Pelodiscus sinensis: one gene and its partner. The protein of the gene in region 1 purifies or fractionates together with the protein of each later gene. This does not show direct contact. Links are inferred from orthologs where the notes say so. Each region holds a gene or a part of one and is shown on either strand. Other genes may lie near its edges.

Region 1 (7,484 bases):
AGGTGGGGGATGAGTATCTCTGTCTCCAGTCTACTCCACATCCTGCAATTCTATTGGGCCAAGGATGCAGGGAGGACTCTGCCCACTGCACAGCCACCAATAAGATTGGAGGGACTCAGACATTACAAGCAGAATGAGACCTGTGTGTCTCTCCAAGGCCTGACCATCCATGAAGCAGAAGATCTGTGGTGCTGGGCACTGACACCAGGACAGCAGGCTCCTGGGACACAGGAACACAGGGTGGGGAAGGAAAGGACCGTTTGGTAGTGTATGACATGGCTCAGTGAGTGGGGTTGGCTGGATTCCAGGGGACAGGACAAGAGCCCATTCCTATTCCCCGTTCAGTGTTTCCAATCCAGCAACCAGTGGAAGAGGCTGATACTAAGAGTCCCGCATTAAAACCTCACTATTTGCCATGATTTGTGCATCTGACCAAGACCCACTGCTATGTGGCATAAGGAGAAGCCACGAGTGGGGGAGTTAATGTAGGAAGATGGCTGTGGGAGTCTCTCCGCTTCTTGTCTTACTGGCTTATAGACAAAGGTCTGAGAGGAGAGCATTGGGTCAGTGAGCCACTATTGTCTGGCCAGACCCTGGCTGGATTTCCTGCTCCCTGCAGAAGTAGAGGAAGGAGATGGGGTTTGCCCAGTGCCATCACCAGTCAGAAAGCAGAACAAGGTAGGTGACACAGTAAGTGCCAAAATCACTATGGACCACACATACTCACCTCACGTCTCTGGATCCAGGAGGGAATGGCAGAGTGTCTGGCCCTCAGTCACTCTTCGAAAGGAGTACGTTGTCACTGACCCAAGTTGTATCAGCAAAAATACATATAGAATCTTAATTTAAAAAAATAAAACGAATAAAGACCAAAATAATCTAAATAAAGACCTCTGTTTAAAAAAATATTACAAGGAAAAAACCAAAGCAGCTTCTCATTTTTCTGTTGAAGCTAAAGTGATTTAAAAACCAATTCCAAACATATGGCAATCCTATAATCTTATCCCAACCTCTACACTTTTCACAATGGAACAGTAGGGTCTTTTGCAGATTGAGATGGGGCTAGGATTATTACTAAAGGCCAAATCTATAAAATGCATCATATACTGTTGTTAAATTATAAAAACACAGAGTTTGTGAAAGCATTAATTCCACTAGCTCCTGTATTTATAATTTATAAACTAAATCTAGAAACAGTTCAGCATATAATAGCAAAGAAAGTTAGAAAAAGTTTAGACGCACAAATACTCAAGTTAAAAGAAGGTCAGGACTAAATTGGAGTTTGTAAAAACACCTTGGAGCTCTGAACAGAGAAAGAGAATAAAGCACTGAAGTTAATCTTCACTGTAGTGTTTAGCTTGATCAGTAGTGTTTAACCTAACATATTTTGTGCAAAGTATAGACAAACGAGAGCAATAACAGAAATTACTAATAGTACTTTCAAATTAGAACTAAAATCTAACTCATAAGAAAAAAAAATCAAAGCTGCTTCTTTTGAAACCCAAAGCTTTTGCAATTAGCAAATAAGGCTGCAGTAATGCAATTGGCTCCCCATATGTCTGCACCTGTGATGAGTCAAATTGCAGGATTGAGGACAAAAGCTAGACAAGTAATGAGGCTCAAATTACAATCTATTTAATATTGCATGTTTGCTGTGTAGACAGTGGGTATTATTTTGCACCATTTTTAACACAGCAAAATGATTTTTCTTTCCCTGCTTCACACTAGTTTGGAACTGTATAGTATTTTTAGTTTTTGGTTAGTTAATATATTATTGGACTGTACTACAAGATTATGAATATAAGGTAGAAAATGACCAGTGGCCTGTCTTATGATAGCTATTTTATTCATGGTTACTTCAGACGTAGCCAAAACTATCCTCAAAGATGTAACTGTTAATGTGGTACGGCTAAAGCTCTAAGTCTTCGCTACTTCTACATATTGGATACATTCTTCTTGTGGTGGTTTAGCCTTTTTAACCAAATCTCTACCAGGTATGGGTTGAACATTTCTACTCCAGCACGCTCTGGTCCAACATCAACCATGGCATGATTTTAGTTAGCCAGATGTTCACTTATGCTGGGTGTGGCCAAATTTCCCATGGTCCCGTAAATTGTGTTTACAGCCAACAGTCCTGACTCTCAGTGGCTATGTCTACACTGCACAGTTATTTCAGAATAAGCCATTCTGGAATACAGGCAGTCCCCGAGTTACGCAGATCCGACTTATGTCGGATCTGCACTTACGAACGGGGTTTGCTGCCCATCTCCCTGGTCTGCTGGAGACCAGCAGACCAGGGAGACGGGAAGCAAAGCCTTTGAGGACGCCGGCAGCGGGACAGCCGTGACGCGTCTGGGCTGTCCGCTGCCCGCGTGCTCCGCGGCTTTGCTCCACGTCTCCCCAGACCAGGGAGAAGGGGAGCAAAGCCGGGGAGCACGCGGGCAGCGGACAGCCCAGACGCGCCATGGCTGTCCCGCTGCCGGCGTCCTCAGAGGCTTTGCTCCCCGTCTCCCTGGTCTGCTGGTCTCCAGCAGACCAGGGAAATGGGGAGCAAAACAGCAGAGCACGCGGGCAGCGGACAGCCCAGACGCACAGACCAGGGAGACGGGGAGCAAAGCGGAGCAAAGCCGCGGAGCACGCGGGCAGCGGACAGCCCAGACGCGCCGCGGCTGTCCCGCTGCCCCCGTGCTCCGCGGCTTTGCTCTGGATGCCTGTGGTATAGCAGCCGGGGCGCTGCCGGTTGGTCCCGTAGCGCCGCTCTGGGCGCTACTGGACCAACCCGGCAGCACCCCAGCTGCTCTGCCCCAGGCGTCCTGATTCAGCCACTGCTGGTCAGTTTCAGCAGCGGCTGAATCAGGACGCCAGGGGCAGAGCAGCTTGGGTGCTGGTGGGTTGGTCCAGTAGCGCCGAAGAGCGGCGCTACTGGAGCAACCCGGCAGCACCCAAGCTGCTCTGCCCCAGGCGTCCCCAAGTCAGCTGCTGCTGAAACTGACCAGCGCTGACTACAGGAAGCCCGAGGCAGAGTTGCTCTGCCCCGGCTTCCTGGAATCAGCCGCTGATCAGTTTCAGCAGCAGCTGACTTGGGGACGCCTGGGGTTCTTAAGTTGAATCTGTATGTAAGAACTGGCGTCCAGATTAAGCCTGTTGAAACTGATCAGCGGCCGATTCCAGGAAGCCCGGGGCAGAGCAACTCTGCCTCGGGCTTCCTGTAGTCAGCCGCTGGTCAGTTTCAGCAGCGGCTGAATCTGGATGCCAGTTCCGACTTACATACAGATTCAACTTAAGAACAAACCTACAGTCCCTATCTTGTACGTAACCCGGGGACTGCCTGTAGTTATTCTGAAATAGCTTATTTCAAAATAGCACACCAACACTACAGGGAAGTCTCAAAATTAGTCCAAGGCAGGCTTCCCTAATGTAGATGTGTTATCTCAATTTAGAGCCTCAGGAAGAATAATTAAGAATGGCCCTAGCGAGGGGCTATTTCGAAATAGCACAAGTGGAATGTCTACACATGCCTTATTTCAAAACAGCTATTTCGGAATAGGCGTTATTCTTCTTAGAATGAGGTTTACAGAAGTTGAATTAAGCTGTCCATTATTTCAAAATCATTTCGAAATAATAGAATTGCTGCTTAGCTACTCAGTTATTTCTGAATAACAGCCATTCTTCCGAAATAACTTTGCTGTGTTGACACACCCAATGTTCTATCTTGTTACTTAGCTCCAATTTACCTCAACTATCTAACCTCCCCCAAAATAAAATAAAAAACTTAAATAACAACAAATGCTCCTGCAACACCTTAGAGACTAACCAAAACAAAACAAAAAAATGTGGATGATATGAGTTTTCATGGGCACAACCTACTTCTTCAGATGGCATCTGAAGAAGTGGGTTATGTCTAGGAAAGCTCATGATAGGATCTCTATTTTTGGTTAATCTCTAAGGTGCGACAGGGCTATTCCTTGTTTTACCCTTTTTCAAAAAAACAAAAAAGCAGCCATGTCCTAACACTTCAAAGACTAACAAAGCAGTTTATTAGGGGATGAGCGTCGTGGGGCAGACCCGCTTCTTCAGACCATATTCTGACAGTGAGTATTGTTTAGGTACAGATTGCACAGCTACCCCGAGCCTGCCACTGTGCAGGAAGCAGCGGCGATGCTGCTAGGCAGCACCCCCCCTGCCTACACAACGGGGCAGCGTGTTGCGAGACCGGCCGGCGGGGTGAAGGTGGAATGTTCGCGGGCGCACCTGGCTGGGCCGGACACATTTGTCCGCGCGTCCCACGTCACAGACACCCCTCCCCCCAGCTCTGCAGGCTGTGGAGACTCAGCCTGCGGCTGCTGACGTAGAATACCGGCGCTGTGGCCCCAGACGCGCCCGGGCGGCGGCGACGTCACCACGGCTAGCGAAAGGAGCGGTGACGCTCTCCTAATGCCGTGCCTCGCCCCCTCCTTTCCGCGCCTGCGCACGGCTGTCCGCCTGTCCCGTCGCCTCTTGATGACGTGCGGGAGGCGCGCGCGCGGAGAAGCGGGCCCGGAGACCGCCAAGCCTCGCCAGCATGAAGGAGACGCCGCTGTCCAACTGCGAGCGGCGCTTCCTGCTGCGCGCCATCGAGGAGAGGAAGGTACGAGAGAGAAATCCCCCCCCCACTCGGCGGCGGCGCCGCCACCGGCCAAGCCCCCCCCTCCCCTTCCCTCCCATGGGCGCTCGGGGCCCGATGCTGCGCCCGCCCCGCGCAGCTGGTGACTCTGCTCTCGGCTCCGCAGCGCTTGGACGGGCGGCAGAGCTACGACTACAGGAACGTGCGCGTCTCCTTCGGCGCCGACTACGGCTGCTGTGTCGTGGAGCTGGGCAGGACCAGGTACCGCGGGGAAACCCCGCCCCGTGCGCCCGGCGCAGGGCTCCCATGACGCTCGCGCACGCGGTGCGGGGCCGCCACAGCCTGGGGGAGGCGACAGCGATGAATGGGGGGAGGGGGGGAGAGAGGAGAACAAATTGAGATCGGTCTCCCTGGAGGTGTCCGAAGCTACCGCGTCGGAAGCGGCAGATGAGCCAGTCACGTGCATGTAGACCTGACCTTGGCTAGTGGCAACTCATTAATCCCTCCGGCCCGACATCTCGAATTAAGCAAATTTGCAGCACCTGTGCGAAGTAGGTGGTAGCTCTATGGTATAGACTGGAGGAGCTGAAGTAATCATAAGCGATGTTTCCCTTAATCTTTTCCCATCCATGTGTGGAATAAATTATGTTATGCACACTGAGGCATGTTTGAATGAGCACCACCGGTAGGAGGAAAAAACTAGTTGTAGGCATTCTTCCAATCAGCCAGAAGGCCTTTAAATCTCTCCTGAGCAAGCCACACAAGCACACAGCTTACACTGGACACAAGTAAATTGTTGGCACTCACACAGCAGTAGAATTGATAATAAAGCCGAGGAATTTGAGTGTCCAGTGTGTGCTCTTCACATCTAGCTCTTGCTTGTTCCCTATTAGTGACTAGCATTTTAGCTGTATGGCCAAGGCTTACATAAGCAGTAATAAATTGGAGCCATGCAGTAAAATTCAGGTGCAAGTTGTTTCAATATTAAATTTAATTAAATATTATTTTTGTTATCTATACTAAAGTATTTTGTTATCTATACTAAAGGGTTTGTGTGGGGGGCGGGGTTCTTTTGCAGAGTCCTTGGACAAGTTTCATGTGAACTTGTTTCTCCAAAGCTAAATCGAGCTACAGAGGGTATACTTTTCTTCAATCTTGAGCTCTCTCCAATGGCTTCACCATCTTTTGAGCCTGGCAGGTATGTGCCCTTTCCATAGTGACAACAGACAAGGATGGCATAAGGAAAGCTATTCAGTGTCATATTTATCAGGATTATTATAACTCACAACTGATATGTAACCAATCTCTTGTTTGTTTTTCTAGGCAATCTGAGCTTTTGGTGAAACTGAATCGACTATTAGAAAGATGCCTCAGAAACTCAAAATGTATAGACACTGAATCTCTCTGTGTTGTTGCTGGTGTAAAGGTGTGAAAAACACTAATAAAATCAAAAGATCTTTAATACTAGAGGACTAATATATTGCATGTAGCGGTCAATCTGTCTTTGAGGACCAAAAATTCTGATTTTATTTTAAAAGACTATGGTTTCAGCTGTGCAAACATAGATATGTGTCTAACTTTAAAGATTGTACATAGTAGATTAAAAGTCAGTGGGACTGTTGGGATATGTAAAAATGAATAGGGATCGGGGTGTGGGGGGGTAGATACAATAGTGATAGGGGTTCTAGCCAGAGCAAGCATTTTGGCTTTTTGTGTATATTTTTTTCCCTTTTGTCCTTGAAGCCTAGGGAGATAGTTGCACTGAATACCGTTTTCTTTGTTTTGTCTTTACACTTGCTCTGTAAAAATACTTGAAGGGTCAGAGCACTTCCCCCCTCCCTGTAAGCTGCTAATTAAGACAGTATGTAATGCTAATTTAATTAAAAACCAGTAAACAACAAACAGAGGTTGGCATAATTGTATTCATCACCTGCTTATTAATATTCATTGTATGGAAGTTAACTTTGCTAAATAAGAGTTTATAAAAAGTAGTAATAAATGTGAGAATTAACATACCAAAATAGATAAACGAGTGTAACTGGTGCCAAATCATTGCCACTTGGAAAATTTTGTTGGGGGTCCAAAGTAAACATGCGTAAGCAATACAAAGGTCCCTTTAACCCATCCGCTCCTGGGTCACCTATTTTCTCGAACAGGTACTATATACATGCTAAAGCTAATTACTTGCATGAAATCATATTTCAATTTTAATTTATCGCAATCAGTATTGAAAGTAGATACTATTTCTCTTCAGATATGTTTTATCCTAATTTTTTGATGATCAAGAAATAAATTTATACTTCCATTCAACATGAATAGTAAAAAGTTATTTTGAAAAGGTGTTGGAAAATCAATACAAGTTACCAGTCATACAACAGTTTCATGAATTGTCACCTATTTTTTATAATTTAGGTGTGGCAAATTCGTGTGGACCTGCATTTGTTGAATCACGATGGAAACATTATTGATGCTGCAAGTATAGCAGCAATAGTGGCTTTATGTCACTTCCGTAGACCAGATGTATCTGTGCAAGGAGAGGAAGTAACGTTGGTGAGTAGGATAAAAGGAAAGCAGTGGTATTGTTGAAGTTAAAACATCATTCATGATAGCTTCTGTATATAAAATGGATCTTTGTCAATAAAGACAAATTAAATCTTAGGGGAAGAGCTACTTAAAACAGTTCTTGGTTTTCAGTTTGAGAGATCGTAACTATTTAAACATTAAATAAGGAAGACAATTTTATAGCACTCTTTTGTATTTCTCAATCAAACTGGAAACGCTCCATTGGCTCTATGGTGGATGCAGTATAGTTACCTACATAGGTAATATTTTGGAAAACATTTTAAAAAGAGCAAGAATCAAGTTTTGATGAATTTTTAGG
Region 2 (7,100 bases), on another chromosome or scaffold:
TGGGATAAGCCCTCTTGCGCAAGTATTCTTGTGCAAGAGGGCCAGTGTAGACAGGCAAGTTAATTTCTTGCGCAAGAAAGCCCGATGGCTGAAATGGCCATCGGAGCTTTCTTGCACAAGAGAGCGTCTACACTGGCACGGATGCTTTTGCGCAAAAGATGTCTTGCGCAAATACTTTTAACGGAAAAACTTTTCCGTTAAAAGTATTTGCACGAAATCATGCCAGTCTAGACGCAGCCCTCTTGTCTAACATCCTAGACAACAACAGGCTGCACTAACAGTTGAGCCACAATCACACATGCCTTCGCAACCCTCTTCCCCAAAAATAAATCAGAAAGTTTTTGTTCTAAATAATAGTTAAAAATTTAAACTAAAAATTTAAAAGTTTTTTTATTAAGGATGAGCAGCTGAACTAAGAGTTAATACATTTGAAATTGACTTGAAATTGATCTCTGCTATGTTGATTATCTAATATACTATGTACATGTATCAGAAAAGTCCATTGTACTTATAACAACCAAAACACTCAAAAAGGCTACCTCAGAATAACCTATTATGTACAACATGGTAGTGCACTACACAAAACATCATCAAATCCAGCAATCACAGAAACTGGCAGTCTTCCAATGTCTAAGACCAGCAAATACAATATGGATAATTAAATTTAATTACCTAAAAAGTTACTGATGGCACAAAATGGCAAGAATCATAGGGGTAGCTGTGTTACTCTACATCTGCAAAATGAATGAGGAGTCTCTTTATGGTGCTACCAGATCCCTTGTTGTTTTTATAAAAAGGCAGAAGTTTCAGTGTAAATTTTTTAGCCATGTTGAATATTTTAATATACATCAATATCATTTAATTCCAATTAGAAAAGAAAATTGAGTTTAAAAATGTCCTTAAAATGGGGGCAAAGACATAAGAATCTCAGGCCCAGGGGCTGGATGTGGCCCCTGGCTCGCCTGGATCCAGACCGCGAGGCTCAGGGCCCTCCCCCAGCACTGGGGAGCACACACCAGTGCTTCAGCCTCCCCACTACCCTGTTGTGGGGCTGCAGAACACAAAATCTACTAGGCTGGGCCCCTCTAGGCTATGGTGTGGGAAAGGAAAGTGGAGAGTATCTTTCTCCTTCTCGGTCAAGGGCCATGTCAGAGAGGGATTTTGCTTCTCACTTGTGTGTAGCCCCTGACTGATTTTTCTGTGGGTCCATGGCCCATAACCCAAAAAAGGCTCCCACCCCTGCTATAGCCCATAGCTACTGCACTGTTATAGGTAGTCCTATAGCTAGCCTTCCCCTTTCAATTCCCTTCTGTTCTTCTTCAGAATTGCATCTTCATTTACTTGTGCAGGTTTCTATTCTGCAAGGACATTTCGTTGTGCTACTGGCTGGTTTGGTACTCCCCCTCTTCTCTATTACTGAATCTGTTTTGTTCTGTAGGGTCTGCTTCCTCTGGAAATGATCTAGTTAACTTACAAGTGACAAAGCCTGTCAAGGCTGTTAGCAGAAGATTGAACCTGTGAACCATCTAAGTGGATGCATCCTGTAGGCCTTCCAAATGGTAAGGAAACCCGTATAACAGGCATTTGCCAACCCCAGTATATACCGTCAGTTTCTGAATTTACAGTCTCAGAGGGCTGTACCCACAAAAGATTGTGATACCATCTACATGTTTTGTTAGTCTTTAAAGTGCTGTTAGACTATTTGTTGTTTTTGTGAGTCTCTCCATATTTGTGTTATTCTCTAAGGCTACGTCTAGACTGGCATGATTTTCCGCAAATGCTTTTAACGGAAAAGTTTTCTGTTAAAAGCATTTGCGGAAAAGAGCATCTAGATTGGCATGGATGCTTTTCCACAAAAGCACTTTTTGTGGAAAAGCATCCGTGCCAATCCAGAAACGCTTTTCTGCAAAAAAGCCCCGATTGCCATTTTTGCGATTGGGGCTTTTTTGCGCAAAACAATCTGAGCTGTCTACACTGCCCTTTTGCGCAAAAGCTTTTGCGCAAAAGGACTTTTGCCCGAACAGGAGCAGCATAGTATTTCCGCAAGAAGCACTGATTTCTTACACGAGATCGTCAGTGTTCTTGCAGAAATTCAAACGGCCAGTGTAGACAGCTGGCAAGTTTTTCCGCAAAAGCAGTTGCTTTTGCAGAAAAACTTGCTAATCTAGACACAGCCTAAGGGTACGTCTACACTGCAACGCTATTTCTGGACACATCTCATGTCTTCACAGCAAGCCCATTATTACAGGCTCGCTCTCCCGACATCCCTGTAAACCTCCTTCTACAAGGCGTACGGGACGGGTCACCACGGGGCTTTATTTCGGAACTCGGCGCGGCGACGATACAAGACACGCAATGTGCTTCGCTCCCACGGCGCCTCTTATCTCGAGTCACCGGGCAGGGCAGACGCACCCCACAGGGCCTGGCGCTGGGTCATGAATGTGCCCGGGGGGAATCGACAGGACCCGCGTTTAACATTTGCTGGGCGAAATATTCCATGGGGGTGGGCAGAAGAGGACAAAATCCCAGCTCTAAAACTACCCCCCCCCCCCGCTGGTCTTGCTCTAAAACTACCCCCCCCCCCCCCCCGCTGGTCCTGCACTAAAACTGCCCCCCCCCCCGCTGGTCTTGCTCTAAAACTGCCCCCCCCCCCGCTGGTCTTGCTCTAAAACTGCCCCCCCCCGCTGGTCTTGCTCTAAAACTACCCCCCCCCCCCGGTCTTAGGGGCAGCAGTTTCAAGCAGGGGCCCGGCTCCCTGCCCCCTAAGGATCGCCCCGCCCACGCCCCAGCCGCTCCTGCCCCTGGCGCCCCCCGTGCCCCCGCGCCCGGCTCACCGCGGGGGCAGGCGGCCCGGCACAGGGCGCTGCGGCAGGGCACGTCGGGGCGCAGGTAGTGCTCGCGCACCACGCGCACCGAGCGGCCCGCCAGGCCCCGCAGCTGCAGCACCTTCTCCGTGCGCTGCATCGGCCGCGCGCCCGGGCCCGGCGGGAATGGCGGGAGGCGGCGCCAGCGCGCTACGCCGGAAGGGCGGGGCCTGCCTCGGGGGCGGGCGGGAGCGGCGGGGCCGCTGGGGGAGGGGCATGGCGAGGAGGGGGCAGGGATGGAGCTGGGGGGAGGGGAATGGCGAGGAGGGGGTAGGGATGGCGCTGGGGGGAGGGGCATGGCGAGGAGGGGGCAGGGATGGCGCTGGGGGGAGGGGAATGGCGAGGAGGGGGTAGGGATGGCGCTGGGGGGAGGGGAATGGCGAGGAGGGGGTAGGGATGGAGCTGGGGGGAGGGGAATGGCGAGGAGGGGGCAGGGATGGCGCTGGGGGGAGGGGAATGGCGAGGAGGGGGTAGGGATGGCGCTGGGGGGAGGGGAATGGCGAGGAGGGGGTAGGGATGGAGCTGGGGGGAGGGGAATGGCGAGGAGGGGGCAGGGATGGCGCTGGGGGAGGGGAATGGCGAGGAGGGGGCAGGGATGGAGCTGGGGGGAGGGGAATGGCGAGGAGGGGGTACGGATGGAGCTGGGGGGAGGGGAATGGCGAGGAGGGGACAGAGATGGAGCTGGGGGGAGGAGAATGGCGAGGAGGGGACAGAGATGGAGCTGGGGCAGGGGGATGGCGAGGCGGGGGGCAGGATGTGGGAGGGAGAGGGGGTAGCAAGGAGGGGGCCTGGATGGTGCTGAGGGAAGAAGAGGCTGGCTCAGAGGGGGGCAGGGATGGTATGGGGGAAGGGCCAGTGGTGAGGAGAGCAGAGATGGTGCTGGCAGGGGAGGGAGATCCTGGGTTACAGGAGACATCAAGCTTTCAGCCTTTGTCAATAATAGCCAGAAAGTGTCTGATAGTTAAAGGTCAGGGGATCAGGCTTTTTTCCCTCATTCAAAATCAAGCTGGGGTCAGCTGACCTAGAACAGGTAGTCTCTCCAGGAAGGAGCTTTCTACTTCAGTGGACAATGCCCATGTTTAGTGTAAATTCCCATGCATGAAGATTACCGCTGGAGGGATTCACAGGATCCCGATAAGCCCTGAACTCCAATATACACATACGTTTCGCTTAACCTGTGTACCATGCCCATTTTCATGTCAAACATTAGCTTTCCTAACAAATAATTAAATCTGTTGTTATCAGTTTAATACTTGATATGTTCTCTATCTGGGTGCTTAGGATCCCAACAAGGAGCCAGTGTGGACTACATATGGAGTCGGTTGACGCTTTGCTCAGCTGACGTGGCCGCTTGTAGTTTCCGACATCAACAGGTGGTCAAAGGACATTTACATGGAGCACATCACTTGACATTGACAGTACTGAGAGGCATAAGCAGGACCACCGACAAGGGATGCAGTCTAGGAAGTAGCCCAAATTCTTCCATGTCAGGCAGTACCTTCCTACCTGTGGCATAGTCACGGGTGGGCCTGGGTAGGCCTAGTCCACCTGCTTTTAATCCAGGCCCACGCAACCATGCTGGTTGGATGTGGGGGATGACCCTGCTGCACCCAGTGCTCTGACTGGGTAGCCGGGGCTCACCCTGCTGCGCCCAGCATTCCAGAGAGTGGGGCCAAGAGGTGCGGGCTCCCCTTTGACCCACGCTCCAGCCTGGGGAGCAGCCAGGGAGTGGGGCCAGGGCTGTCACCGTTCCATCGGTGCCCTGCCACCCAGCAGTCTAGCTGGGGAGTGGAGCTGGAGCTGACCCCTTGCTGTCAGCGGTCTGGCTAGGGAGCAGGGCTAGAGTGTGGGGGCTTACTGCCTCCATCATTGCCCACCCTCCCAAAGTCAGGGCCCACCCAAGTGGTCCTTTCTGGCTATGCCATTGCTTCCTACAGAGAGCCTACCCCAGATACTGACAGAATGAGAGAGAATCTCCACCCATTAATATATGTGGTTTCCATGGCTAATCCTCTATAAAACTTCCAGTGGATGATATACCCAAATGCTTATTCACTACTACCAGACTCTACTGCTAAACTCCTAAATCTGAGTCAGTGCTAATTGTAGTTTTTTTGCTCTGTTGTTTCTCACTCTCCTTCGTTTGGAGGAAGTTTCCGATGATAACACGATAAAACATGATGTGACCCTCAGAATATAAAACAATAATCAGGTGTGAGAAACTCAGGAAATGAAAGAAAGTAATCATATACTAGGCCTTTAGTCAGACATACTCAAAAACCTAGGAGGAAAATGCATTTATTTCCTGAGTTCTCCAACTAAATCAGGGAACTCAGCTGAAATTCAACCTATGTTCCTGAAAAAGCACCTGAAAATGACCTGTGGTGAGAGGATGCTCCTGTTAAGTTGGAAGAAGCTGAGCCAAACAGACGCCAAGAGAGAACCACTACGTGACCTTTCTCAAATGCCGCTGCCATGGCAAAATATACCATGTTACATAGGTTCTGACTTCTATTCTTGCCGAGGGGGTGCCCGGCCACTGCTCTTCACCAGCTCCCCCCCCCCCATACTCCACCCTTTCCCCCAAGCCCATACACCAGCTCATCTTTCCTCACATCCCCCAAGTACAGCGCGTGCCTCCCTGCTTCTTCATCTCCCTCCTGGAATGTCAGCATCCCGCCAATCAGCTGTTTGTAGCACTCTAGAAGCACTGGGAGGGAGGGAGAGAAGTTGGTTAAGTGTGGGGCTACCAGCGCATGAGTGGCGCAGAGTGCACAGCTTGGTGCCAATGGGTGCTCTGCACCCGCTACTTTTTCCCAGTGGGTGCTCCAGCCCCAGAGCACCCAGGAAGTCAGCTCTAATCCCATGATGAATAGCATCAAAGAGCTTACAAATACCCAGATACGGTAATAAAACATTTGCAGAAAACTTCTGTGGGTAGTTCACAGTCGTGCACGCCAAAAATTCTAACAAAGCAGAGCTGGCTTGCAATCATAGCTTGAGCTCAAACCAAGATTGATTTTAGGTCCATTGTATACCTGACTTGAATATTTTGCACAGCTGTAGAAAGAAGTGTCTTCGGACTTTTTTCTTTTTGAAAAAAAGGGAAATTATTTTGTGATTATGCATTGCTGTGCTTCCCATTTTCTCAGCAGGATGATCTCCCCTCTGCCATGAGCCTGCATCTTAGTTTTCAGGGTGCAGTTTCCGTTTATTGCCACTGGGAGACACCATTTCATTGATTTTGGATGAGAATACCAGTGTGTCCTCTGTTTAAAATTCAGCCTTTCAGGTGTTGTGATCAAAGTGCTGATAGTTGCTTGTAACAACACCAAGCAATTTCTACTCCAAAAGAAACTAACAAACTAGTAACTAAAGGCTGCTTTCTAATACAATAATAACCCCTCATGCTGCTACATGCCTAGATGTTTGTAATTATTGGAAGCATAAAAGCAATGTATTTACTATAATTCCTCATTTTTGGTATATTAATTCCATGATTCCCTCTTCCCTTTCATCTACAGATGAAATTTTGAAGCATGTTCTACATCATTAAATCAAAAAGTTGTACACTCTGTTGTTTCCCGTAATATTATACATCTTTAGCTCATTCCAATGTTTTATTCTTGTATTAACTGATGTATTATGCGTATTAAAAAGTCAAATACTGATTTAAAAAGCAATGGCCATGTTTATTCTGTCATCAAAACTACTAAACTTTAGCTGATATAAAGGTAAGGAGAAGCATCATTCACAGGTGATTTTAGATTGGAGGATATTAGCTGTAGCTTTTCATAAGATCTAATAAAACAAACGTAAACATAGTGGAAATAATTTGGTTATTTTTGGCCCAATTATGTAGCCTTTAATCAGGCAAAACTATCAAGATGTATTTGATCTGAATAGGGGTGTGAGCTTAAAACTTTTACAGTGAAATGATGCTTACATGAGCCTCATACCCTGTAGTAACCCCATTATAGTTGATAAATTTCACAGAATAATAGATGTCAGATGGAAAAGACCTGTTAGGTCACCCAGTGCATCCTCACCAAATTGGGATAGTCCAAGTTTGGAGTCATTTACTGTAGAACTTTTCCCTGTAAGGGATATTTATTTATAAAGTGCAGTAAACAGAAAATAGAACTGCAAGGATGACTTTTTTGCCCTCTCTTTCAAAATCTCAAGCTGAAATTCCTAGGTGAAACTGATGAATTCCTTCTTAGCCTCCTAAAATGA

Evidence for each region. Proteins that work in one complex are often made in the same cells at the same time.
Region 2: the proteins of EXOSC9 (region 1) and DIS3L purify together in Homo sapiens (affinity purification with mass spectrometry; 3 studies listed by BioGRID and IntAct, with this or other methods). This does not show direct contact. The link is inferred for Pelodiscus sinensis from reciprocal best matches to the Homo sapiens genes EXOSC9 and DIS3L.

What each region holds. Positions count from the first base shown.
Region 1 is NC_134715.1:37,047,270-37,054,753, forward strand, and holds the start of EXOSC9 (exosome complex component RRP45), read left to right. Parts: upstream 1-4,467; 5' UTR 4,468-4,561; coding exon 4,562-4,627; intron 4,628-4,769; coding exon 4,770-4,864; intron 4,865-5,681; coding exon 5,682-5,801; intron 5,802-5,926; coding exon 5,927-6,029; intron 6,030-7,015; coding exon 7,016-7,153; intron 7,154-7,484. UniProt on the Homo sapiens protein: Non-catalytic component of the RNA exosome complex which has 3'->5' exoribonuclease activity and participates in a multitude of cellular RNA processing and degradation events.
Region 2 is NC_134724.1:4,766,535-4,773,634, forward strand, and holds the start of DIS3L (DIS3-like exonuclease 1), read right to left. Parts: upstream 3,005-7,100; 5' UTR 2,965-3,004; coding exon 2,835-2,964; intron 1-2,834. UniProt on the Homo sapiens protein: Catalytic component of the RNA exosome complex which has 3'->5' exoribonuclease activity and participates in a multitude of cellular RNA processing and degradation events.